Linked DNA regions of Kluyveromyces lactis. The main gene of each other region encodes a partner of the protein of the gene in region 2 in a complex. Links are inferred from orthologs where the notes say so. Each region holds a gene or a part of one and is shown on either strand. Other genes may lie near its edges.

The links. The genes of interacting proteins can lie anywhere in the genome.
Region 1: NIC96 (region 2) and GLE1 share a complex: the UniProt entries of both Saccharomyces cerevisiae proteins name them as parts of the nuclear pore complex. The link is inferred for Kluyveromyces lactis from reciprocal best matches to the Saccharomyces cerevisiae genes NIC96 and GLE1.

The regions. Positions count from the first base shown.
Region 1 is NC_006039.1:1,324,455-1,330,868, reverse strand, and holds GLE1 (nucleoporin GLE1), read left to right. Parts: upstream 1-3,383; coding exon 3,384-5,018; downstream 5,019-6,414. Other genes in the region: SEC26 (coatomer subunit beta), read left to right, coding at 1-1,857; MRPL7 (mitochondrial 54S ribosomal protein uL5m), read right to left, coding at 2,074-2,943; FMN1 (riboflavin kinase), read left to right, coding at 5,398-5,955. UniProt on the Saccharomyces cerevisiae protein: Functions as a component of the nuclear pore complex (NPC).
Region 2 is NC_006041.1:1,252,188-1,258,212, forward strand, and holds NIC96 (linker nucleoporin NIC96), read right to left. Parts: upstream 4,609-6,025; coding exon 2,026-4,608; downstream 1-2,025. Other genes in the region: proteasome regulatory particle lid subunit RPN11, read right to left, coding at 1-628; type 1 protein phosphatase-activating protein YPI1, read left to right, coding at 1,311-1,778; PDH1 (putative 2-methylcitrate dehydratase), read right to left, coding at 5,117-6,025. UniProt on the Saccharomyces cerevisiae protein: Functions as a component of the nuclear pore complex (NPC).

The sequences.
Region 1 (6,414 bases), on a different chromosome or scaffold from region 2:
GTAGACAGTGTAGTTAAGTTATTGAGGAAAGAATTACAATCTACTGCTGATAGCAGTAACGATAAAACTCTGGAGTACAGGCAATTATTGATCAAATCCATTAACAAAGTGGCAATAAGATTTATTGAAGTCTCCTCCAATGTTGTCTCATTGCTTCTAGATTTTATCGGTAACTTGTCGTCTGAAAGTGCCAATGATGTCATTTCCTTTACAAAACAGGTCATTGAAAGGTATCCTGAGTTAAGATCTGAGATTTTAACTACTTTGATTGAGACATTGCATGAAGTAAAGTCAGCAAAGGCTTACCGTGGTGCTCTTTGGGTACTAGGTGAGCATGCCCAATCCGAAGCAGAAATCCAGAATACCTGGAAGCACATCCGTTCAAGTATAGGTGAAGTTCCAATTGTTCAATCTGAACTGAGAAGAGTTCAAAATGATGACGAAGACGATACTGAAAAGGCCCCAATAGTATCCACAGGGCCGGTAGTTTTGCCAGATGGTACTTATGCAACCGAATCTGCTCTATCTGTCTCAGAAAAGGTCAAATCCACCTCAAACGAGGAAAAAGAAGCAAGACCTCCTTTACGTCGTTTCGTCCTAAATGGAGATTTCTTTACTGCCTCTGTGTTGGCTAACTCTATCGTTAAATTGGTGTTGAAATTCGAAAAGATTTCCAAGAACACTTCTGTAACTAACGCCCTAAAGGCCGAAGGGTTGTTGATTTTGGTTAGTATCATCAGATTAGGTCAAAGTAACTTAGTAGAAAAGAAGATTGACGAGGACTCTGCTGAAAGACTAATGACGGCAATTTCGGTATTGATGGACGAGATTTCTACCGAAGAAAGTCAAGCAGAGAAAGAACTTTTGAGTTTGGCATTCTTGGAAGCTACCAACGAATCATACAAATCAAGAGTCAATGTTACTTTGAAGAAGAATGCTGCCAAGAGATCAAACTACCTAGCCAAGCACGCCGAGGCCATCGATAAATCCATCGTTTTCAGACAATTTAAGAATGCAGGCTTGCACAATACCCCCGTCGATTCAATCGAAGAAGATATAAAATTGGCTACCACCGGTACTGTATCATATTCCAAACTACAAGCTAATTCTATCACTTCAAAATTGAAGAAGATCGTCCCATTGACTGGTTTCAGCGATCCTGTTTATGCCGAGTGTTATATCACTAATCACCAATTCGATGTTGTGTTAGATGTTCTATTAGTGAACCAAACCAAGGATACTTTGAAAAACCTACATGTTCAATTCGCTACTCTTGGTGACTTAAAAATTATTGACCACCCACCTAGCACCAACGTTATTCCACATGGGTTCCACAAAATTACGATAACAGCAAAGGTGTCCTCAGCAGATACTGGTGTTATTTTCGGTAACATTATATATGATGGTGGTCACGGTCAAGATTCTCGTTATGTCATCTTGAATGACGTTCATATCGACACAATGGATTATGTGAAACCAGCAATCTGCGATGATAACAGTTTCCGTAAGATGTGGAATGCGTTTGAATGGGAAAATAAACTTCGTATCAAATCCAAATTACCATCTTTACGCGGTTATTTAGAGAAGTTGGTGGAAGTTACACATATGAAGGTTCTAACCCCTGAAGAGGCACTCGGCGACAATGATTCCAGATTCCTAAGTTGTAACTTATATTCTAGATCTACATTTGGCGAGGACGCTTTGGCTAACCTGTGCATAGAGAAGGATCCAATCACACAAGAAATTGTTGGTGAAATCCGTATTCGTTCAAAGACCCAAGGGTTAGCTTTAACCAATGGTGACAATATTACCAGAATGGGAAGAACTATGAATATCGTTAGTGTTGATCGTGTTTGAGGTTAATAATTTGAAGACTTTGATCTCACCAATTACCTGTAATGCAATATATATGCCACTTTTTACTTATTGAAATCTATTACATATAAGTGTACATTAAGAGACGTCGACATTTGTATAAAGGTAGTCATATACATATAATGCTGATAATTTTTTTATCCTATTAGTGAGTGTTATTTACAGGACGAAAGACAGGATAAAAACTACTTGGGAGCATTAATTGATCTTTTCCGAACCGTTGAAAGGAAAACCGAATCCACTGACCAAAGTTCTAGCCTGTACGTCAGTTTGGGCAGTTGTGTTGATGTTGATGTGCATACCAAAAGTTACTGGCCAAAGATCTTGATTAGCATCAATCTCTGGGAAAAATCTGACTTCATCGCTGGTCATACCAAATGATAACCCACCAAATCTGTTACCTGACTTGTTGGAGATACCTTTGTATTCTCTGATTCTTGGTAGTACAATTTCAGTCAAAGTGGATAAGAACTGAGACATTGGACGACCTTTCAATGTAATGACAGCACCCATTTGGGTACCTCTTCTGACCTTCCAGGCCGGAACATCATTCCTAGAGAACAAAGCCTTTGGTTTACACCCGGTAATTTGTTGCAATTGTAATGCTGCTGAAATTGGTAGATATTGGTTCTCTTTTGCATCTCTGACGTAACAGTTAATAACAACGGACTCGATGTCTGGAATGTTCTTCCACGTTACTGGATGAATATCTGGCAATTGAGCACTTGAGCCCTTAGGTTTTCTGGGTTCTCTGTTAATGTGATATGGAGAAGAACCGTCCCATTCTCTTTGCTTCAACCCGAGCTTCGTTTGGCTTTTGTGGGAATAATTTATCAATAATAAATCGCTTTGTAAAGTATTATAATAATGCTCACGAACACGGTCTTGATGTGTAACAACAGGCTTGAATGCTGGAGATCTAATATCGTTTTTACTATATTTCAATTCAGGAAACCTTGGGGATAGCTTGCTCTTGTCGATCTTAACCAAATGATGCACTGGCTTAACCAAAGCACAAGCAGCTTTGGAGACCTTTGAACTACTGTGGAAACCACGTACCACTTGCATTATCACTTGGTATCTTCTCACAGATGCGAACGAATGAATGTATAAACCTACGAATGGGAAGGAATACTGCTTTAAATCGAGTGAAACTGATCAAATCTCTATCATTATCTTACAGCTTTAGCTCGAAAGGTCGAAAAATTTTTAAAACTTTCAAGTACAGAGAATTCAATATACGTCACGTGACAAGAATCAACAAAAAGTGAAATTTGATTAAAAACCAGGTAGAGCTCAGTTGATGATTATAGAGAGTGTTGACCTTTCAGCCCTTGTGTTGATGCATTGCAGCCGTTTTTTTTTGATCCCGTACTTAAAGACACGTAGCTGGATTCTCCATTTAGGTAATAACAGTCGAACTTAACCCCGAATCGTTTACTTGAATTGAGCTTTTTACCGATTTGATAAAGTAAAGAAAGCGATTGACACATATCAGGACAATTGAGATGAGGTTCTCATTTGACGAATTGTACGAGAATGCTGAACGGAAACAGAGTCAGAATACCAGCAGCAGTGATTCTGACTATGAATTAGACGGGGAGTTTACGTATATTGGCGATCCATCTGATGGGATCCAGTTAAAACTACCGAAATTATACCATTCTTCAAAGAATGACGGCCAAGGTGAAGAGCAAGGGTTTAGTTCAGGAGATACAATTTCTTTAGAGGATGTGGTAGAACCAGAAATAGTTTCAATGCTTTCCAACTTAAATATCACTCTTGAAAGGAATGCACTACCGCATCTTACAACGAGAGGTCACGAGAATAAAGCTTTAGGCCCTGTTCTTATTGACGAAGCAGAACTTTATTACCAAGAGAAGAAGGATTTGATTGACGAGGTGGAACAACACACCTTTCCTATGCAAGACCAGGTGCTTGAATCTGTGTGGAATGAGGAAATTGATTCAATTGAAAAGGTGAATCAACGTTTAATTAAAAGCATAAAGGATAAAAAGAAGAGGGAAGAGGAAGCACGTATCCAGAAAGAATGCGAAGCGGAGAAGCGCAGACAAGAAGAATTGAAGCATAAAAAGGAGATGGAAAAGAAGTTGAAGGAGGAAGAGAAACGGAAGATTCAAGAAATGGCAGAAAAGGAGAAGAAAGCTGAAGAAGCGAAGAGAGTAGAAGCCCTGAAAAAGAAGCAAGAACAAGAACAACTGGAGAGGAATAAACTTAAACAGTCCAAAGAATCTACAAATTTCAAGTTAATCGAAGAAACTTTTACTAAATACAAAACCATGATTCAGACAATTAAAACAGAAATAATTGAACCGGTGAAGGCGGATCCCACCTTGAAGAAAACTTTAGCACAACATAAGAGGAAAATTAATCCAAAATTCGGACAATTAACCAACAGTACTGCACAATTGAATGCAATCACCAATGAACTTACCGAACTGGTACTTCAAACGAAGGCTAACCAATTAGCCTATAAATGGATTCTAAACTTTATAGCTAAGGCGATTGTTTCCCAAGCAGAATCTGAGGCCAGAGTGAAACCTGAAAGCGCTTTGCCTTTAGGAACACTTGCGCTAAGTCTTCTTGCATCATACCCGGAACTCAAAGAGTTCTTACTGGCGAGACTCATCAAGAAATGTCCGTTTGTTATCGGTTACACGTGCAGCATAGACACAGTCGAAGGAAGAACCAGAATGGGATGGAAACGTCAAAGTGACAACAGATGGGAAGAAGATATTTCATATGATGAAAGGATGGGTGGTATGATTACCTTGTTTGCTGTCATCACAAGATTACCTCTACCGCAAACGTACATTCAGAAACTTGTGCATCCTTTCCCAATCTCTTGGTCATGGAGAATGCTAGCTAGAATCGGCAACACTCCAAAGGATCTACTTACAAATACACACTTCGTCGTTCTTGCCTACTGGTGGGAGGCTGCGGCAGCACAATTGCTCCAAGCATACAACGTTCAGGCAACAAAACTACTTGAAGTTATTTCGATTGATTTAACTGCACTTGTTGCTGACAAAAAATTCGTTGGTGCAGCAAGACTCCGCATTATTAACGAGGAATGGCATAATACAAATCAAATATCATCATTCCCAGATATGGCAGCATAACGGCTAGAGTTTTCTCTAGTAAAATATATATATATATATATATGTATGTATACCTTCAGATCTTCGTTTTCATCATGTGTTCAGGGCATAGTATATGCCTTATGTTCTCATAAAACTTTAATAATGAGGATTCAAATATTTCCAGAGAGAGAGCGTACCTCATTGCCTAGAAATACTCCGCAACTGTTGAACAAACCATGAACCCATTTTCACGTGCCCATTTACCCTTTTCTTTCTTATTCTTACTTGCAACAGTCTTTATACTCAAAGAGTTCGAACCTTTAAAAACGTAGTTTGAATCTTGTGAATACTTCCATGTGGTTATCATACAAACGAATAACGATCGGATCATCAAAAACTCGCAGTAAGACCTAGAGCAATGACAAGGCATTGTGACGTTTCGATACCGGATTCACCTGAACCTCCTTTTCCAATTACCACATCGTTCGTCGATGTAATAGCTGGTTTCGGTCGTGGATCAGCAGAGTTAGGAATTCCTACAGCGAACGTGCCCATCGATGATTTACCAAAAATCGTGGAGCAACTAGACACAGGAGTTTATTTTGGATGGTGTAAGGTAAGGATGGCAAAGGACCGTGACACCAAGGTGGAACAAAGACCCGATGGCAGAGAGGTCCAATACAATAACGGTACCTTACTAAATGACGAAGATTTAGCAGTTCTTCCAGTGGTACTTTCTGTTGGCTGGAACCCATTCTACCAGAACAAAAACAAGACGGTAGAACTACACATAATCCACAAGTTTTCTGATAATTTCTACGGTGCCCAAATCAAATTCAACTTCTTAGGGTATATAAGGCCCGAGTTAGACTACACCACAAAGGACGCATTGATTGCAGATATCCATACCGACATTGAAATTGCAAAAGAGAAACTACAATTACCTGGATACCGGAAACTTAAGGATACTTTATAAAAGTGAAGTTTGAGAATAGAACAGCTGATCCTCCAGCTTATACGATGACTAACTCAGTTCCGCCCGGAAGATAACTGAGGCAGTTGATAATATCTTCTTTTCCAGTTGATTTCAAGAATTGTGCACATGTATTTATACCATTATTTAATAGAACATTTCATAGAAGAAAATCATTGCTAAATGGAAAAGAGTTCAAGGCAAGAATTAAAGAACAGGCGAGGTCAAAAGACTCACTGACAAAGGCACAACTGACATTTAACTGACCTGAGTACGTTCATCTGTTTGCGTATATCTCACTTTTTTGGATACTCTTTTTCGCCAAGTTGAATAGCCGCATCGCCCATTTTTGGTATATTGCTCCCCAAAAGGTCTTGGTTCTTCCCTTTAACCATTATTCAATCCAACCATAGCCGAGCCACACATACAGAGAAGTCTGTAGTTATTTGGACAGGGCTCAGT
Region 2 (6,025 bases):
TGTGATAATCGATATTAAGCGAGTAATAATGCCTATTTAGACCATGAATCAACGCTTGAATATTCGGTTTGTTGATCAACCCGATATTAGAAGTATTTTGCCTTGGTTCCTGGTTTCTCATGACAGTAGAAGGGTCAATTAGTCTGAATGCATCAATGACCACTTTACCCTTCACCGATTGAATAGGATCAACAACCACCGCCACAGCCCTGCTGTTTAATTGTTCAAATGATTTCTGAGTATTCACATCTACTGAAGATAACCAACAACCAAAACCCGGATGTGAATGGTACCATCCGACAACCATTTGATCTCTTCCTGTTTGTTTTAACATATCCATCATCTTAGCTTGAAAAACATCATCAACAGCCTCGACAGAAACACCTGTACCTGACTGAGGCATGGCAAACACATCGACAACGTTTACTGTATAATCATCAACAAATTCTCCCAACATAAGACCCATGACTTCCATTGGAACACCAGCTCTCCCATGTTTCAACATCTTCAACAATGCAAGAGAAGAAATGTACACAGTTTCCTTGGTGTCATCAAGGGGAACCTCGGTGGCATTGGCACCCATCATGCCTGCTCTTTGAGACATCATCATTCTTTGTAAACTTTCCATCTTTTGTTGAAGGATTTGAATTGCGGAGACGATAAATTGGCTTTTGTATCAGCGTTCTGTTTCTTGATATAATACTTCCTTAATAAAGTACCAACAAATTGAAATTCTTATTCTTTCCTGAGAAGTATGCAATTGTCTTGTAGATTTCAATTACTGTGTATCTAATACTGCTAATAATGACTTATGGATACCACACGTACAGAGATGAGAATTCTTGACGAATTATCTGCTTATACCTTTATCAATTGTAAACTGTTTGCCACTGCATTACAAAGTTACGATCTTTCTTTTGGCTTATGGATTTAGTAGTCATTATTAACGAACATCACCACTTTCTGACCTTCAGATATTTAACCTCTTTCTTCCCTTTAAAAATGAGATGAGACTGGAGTACTTCTATGCATACATGGATATCTCATATACAAAGCGAAGCTCCATGGTCTAGTACAGTCAAATACTCGAGAGCACGACTTGTTGAAGAAAATATTCCGTTTTATTGACGCCGAAGATTTTAGAAATAGGAAACGATTTCTTACATTATTCATACTTTGTTCCCAGTCCTTTGATAAGTGAAATTACGAAAGATTATCAAGACTTAGACAGGAAAACTTTACCTATCGTCACGCTTTTTTTATCAGTTTGATCCATCATCATAATTAAACTTTGAAATATTTCCTAACATATGAGTGAAGGACCTTCTGCTCTTCCTGAAGGAACGCATACCGTCACTGTTACGGAGGTTCCGCAGCTGCTTCAATTGCGTGCTGGCCAGAATGAGAAAAACAAAACTAAGAAGAAGGACACCAAGTCTAAAGTAAGATGGGATGAGAAAGTAATAGATAATGAGAACATGAACAAGAAGAAAACTAAGATTTGTTGCATTTTCCATCCTAATACCCCATTAGAGAGTGATGAAGAAGAGGAAGGAGAGTGCGAGCACGATCATAATCATGGACATGATTCATCGTCTTCATCATCTTCGTCTTCTTCAGACGAGGATGAGGGAAAAAGCTTTGACGAAAGAAGAAAGGCAAGACTCGAAAGGCGGAGAAAAAAGCTTGAGCAAAAACGTCCACCAAGTCCGAATGCATACGAAGTCCAGCCAGATTACAGCGCTTATAGAGATAAGAACAGAAAAGACGCTCAATGATTTAGGAATTTGATCAGCATACTCTTTCACTTCTTGTACATTTCGTTGCATCTTCTACTCACTACAACAATGCACTGCTGAAAAGGTAATTGGCAGTTCAAATGTATATATATACATATGCATATATAATCTATCAGGCAATTATATCGAATAACAATCGACTTACACATGGTTATTTTATTGTATGCTATTATGGTAGGACGTCTGGGTTCTGACATAACTCAGGTGCTCATAAATGAGAGCTCTGCTACAAACCAACTTCTATATTGATTAATATGCTGTAAGTTTCTCTTGGCATTTTGTATTGAATCATACCAGCATAAATCATACAATTTTTAGCAACACGTTTGAGAGAATCGATTTGCTGCTTTTTAGTCAAAGATTGGTAATCACTTTCGTTCAACTGCTTTATGATGTTAGAAATGCATAGCATTGTAATTATCAACAGGTTAGGTATGTTCTTTAATATATTCTCATCCAAATGTGTAAATTCTTGTGCTCTTTTTCTGGTCGAGCTTTCATCCGTGAACGGAATTAAATCGAGATCTTCAATCTGTTGTAGGGTGTTTTGCCATTGGCGTGCTAGGAATGATGCTCTTATATCAGCTAGTTTCAACAAGACAATACATGTTTCTTTGTTTCTTGCCTGAACCTTTTTAGAGATTTCGATGTTGTTGATGTACACTTCGATTAACTTCTTTGCCATTAAGACGTAATTCGTTTCGCTGTTGTCATTCAACCTAAAGAGGGATTGATTGAGGTCAGTGCTACTTAGAAGTTCTCCCAATAACTTGTTGATAATGGACATAACAATGTCATATTCTTCTGATAACTGGTACAACAACAAACTATCATGAATTCTTCTTTCTTCATCAGCCCTACGAGCAGCCTGTTCGGTAATCTTATACAAAAAGTCCTTCTGGTCCTCAAGCTGTAATAATGGGCGTCTTTCTTCAACTACACCGGGGATCCTAATTCCTTCAGAGTTGATCTTTCCGAGAAGTATGGTGAACTCTTTAGTTTCCAAGATCAATTCCCTGAGTGCCTCATACGCCCATTCAATCTGCTCTTTCTCATTCACTAGTGCGATGAGAATTAGATATTCGACAGCTATTCTTGGATCAGAGTACTTGAACGACTTTGTGTAATTTCCTAATACCTTAACAAAGTTTATCCTTGTTTGGCCATCATTCACGGAGATCAACTCATCCTTTTTATAAGATGACACATGTAACATGCCATTTGCCGCTAGACCAATTGCCAAGTGAACAGCATCGATTTCATTTATTTTGTATGAGTACTGTACTGCTAGTTCATATTGTCCGCTTAACAAAAGGGCCTGTAGATAATAGTTTTTAAACATGTACTCACCGTAAGAGACAACAGTATGTTGGAAATCGCTGAGGGTATACCTTTCATATACTGGATCATCCATATCCATATCATCTTTGATTAACATCAAGTGAATCCATAACCAATCTTCCACGCTTAGAGTAATAGAAGAGATATTCTTCCTTGTCAAATCACATCTGCCAATAATTTTGTAGACCGCCAAACGGAACGGATCGCTGTCCAAAGTGTTTTTGATATGCTGGTTATATTCTGTATGCAACCTTGAGACAAATTCCTGTGGAAGACGATGATCAGGAGACGTTACATAAGCTTTGAAGTATGTTAGGAAAGATTGCTCCACTTTTTTGAAACTCAATTTGTTGTTAACAACTACTTCTAGCGCGTCCTGCGGTAAACCAGCCCTTAGCAAATAAAAAATCAAGGCCCATACGGGAATTCCATTCACAATCGTAAGATTGTTAAATTTCCAAGTATTTTCACCAGTCTTCAGTTTGAGGTCAATAAATGCTCTAATTTTGTTAACATTGGTCGGTAAACCTTCGCTTGGATTCTTTGAATACAAATTGTCAACATAGCTCAAGAACTGGTTTTCTAGGTATTTTTTGGAAAACTCAACAATATTTGGGGATTGATTTGTTGCATTATCTATAATCTCCCAACCGTCAAGTAGCTGTCTATACTTCGAGTCGGTCGTATTCTGAAAGATGGCAATGAACTCTTTGGTTAATTGAAAATCGTCATTATGTGATTGTCTTGAATTGTTAAACCTGTAAATAATTTTGGCATATTTCTCAAACTTTTCTCTAAGGATGTGATTTCCATTGACATTTGAATTTAAATCACCATCCAAGATACCACTACCAGGTGGTTTCCCCCAAAATATTGGACCGTTGGGATCCAAAGGAGCCAAATTAGTCGTATCGTAGTTAGAACTATCCTGACGTTTCTTGACTAGGATCCCAAAGCTTTCTCTTACTTCATCTTTCCTTTGCTTCCAATCTAGGTTGAAGTTCTGATTAATGAAATTATCAAAATCCTTCGCTGCTAAAGACAATGATTGTTCAATGGAGGAAAGGATATTCTCATCCTTCTTAATATGTAAATAAGTGTCCAAATCACCATCGTTATAGCCTTGTGCAACCCGTTGTTCGGTTAACAACTCTGATGACTTAAGATTCTTCAAGGAACTCTCAATTTCGTGAAATTCAAGTCCACTTCCTGCTAAGAGATAATGAGCTTTTGTATGATTGGAATCGTGAGGAATTGTCTTACGCATCTCCTGTGCCCTCTTTTTCATCTCATTGACACTCAATAAGATAGCTCCAAGGTCAGATGAAGTAGAAGGTAAGTTCTTTGACGTTTCTAAAAGCTCATTGAATAATTTCGATGAGCTCTTAGACGTGGAGCCACTAGTCTTTGCATCGTTTTGAAATGCAGATAGCATTGTATCACTGCTGATTTGACTGTTGATATTCATAGTTCCACGATTGTGTGGATTTTACAATTCCAAAATCTGAACGGGTTAAAGATAATTTGATGCGATGGATAGCAACAATGTGTATTGATTTTCAAAGTATCTTCAATGAATTATTTCCATCATCTATTCAACGTATTGATAGTTTACATTTTCTTTTATTGTTTTCTGTCTAATTTTTTTTAACTACAATGTTTTGCACCGTTACCCGAACATGTGACGGGACAAAAAAATGGACAGCCAGAAATTGATCATGACAGTAATTAATATTAAAACATAAGTATGTATGTATTAACTCAAGAGAAAATAAGTTAATTATATATTGTAATCTGGAATTGATGATTGCCAGAATCTTTTGATTCCTGTGGTCAGTTTTTGTAGAATAGAAAATGTTGTTTTGGTTACCATTGAAATGTAGGTTTTACTTCGTTTAGTTCAAAAAAAGAGTTGAATGAAATGAAAAATTGATTGTGGTCGTTATACGTTGATGATGCTGTGCGAAGGACAAAGCTTAATCGCAGTACATGTTGACATATTCATCAACAGTTAAGTTTAAGAAACCGTCATCTGTACTTGCTTCCATTAAAGCTTCCACCTTTTCAATATCGCCGGCGAAATGTTCACGCAAATGGTGGTAGAATTTCTGCATCAATAGTGGGACACCTTCCTTTCTTCTTAGTCTGTGACCGATTGGATATTCTACGACCACTTCATCTAAGACAGTCCCATCATTCAATTCTACTAACAAAGCGTTTGGGATTGATCTCTTTGATGGATCATGATAATCCAAAGTGAATTGGTCATCTTTAGTACAATACATCTTAGCTCTCAATTCGTCAATTTCAGGGTTGCTTGCTACTTCATCACTGTAATCGTCAGCCGTTAGTCTACCGTAAATTAATGGAATAGCAGTCATGTATTGAATACAATGATCTCTGTCAGCATAATTGTACAATGGACCCTCCTTGTCAATAATTCTCACAGCGGCTTCTTGAGTTCTAATTCTGACCTTTTTAATGTCTTTGTAAGTTTTGCCCAACTCTGCCAACTGTTTATTCACCTTAATAGCTGCTTCCACTGCCGTTTGAGCATGGAATTCTGCTGGGAACGATATCTTGAAAAGAACGTTTTCCATCACATAAGAACCGAAAGTGTCCCTTTGCTGGAAGGTGAATGGTTTACCTTTGAAAAGAACGTCATAAAAACCCCATGTCTTAGCGGTTAGTACGGAAGGAATTGTACCTGGACTTCCATTCTTCACCAAATATGCAATGTTGACAGCTCTTGCCACTGCGTCACCGGCAGCCCAAGATTTCCTGGAACCAGTATTTGGAGCATGCCTATAAGTTCTTAAAGCTTGTCCATCTACAAAAGCATGAGATAAAGCTTCTGTGGTCTGAGCTTCTGATAGACCCAACAT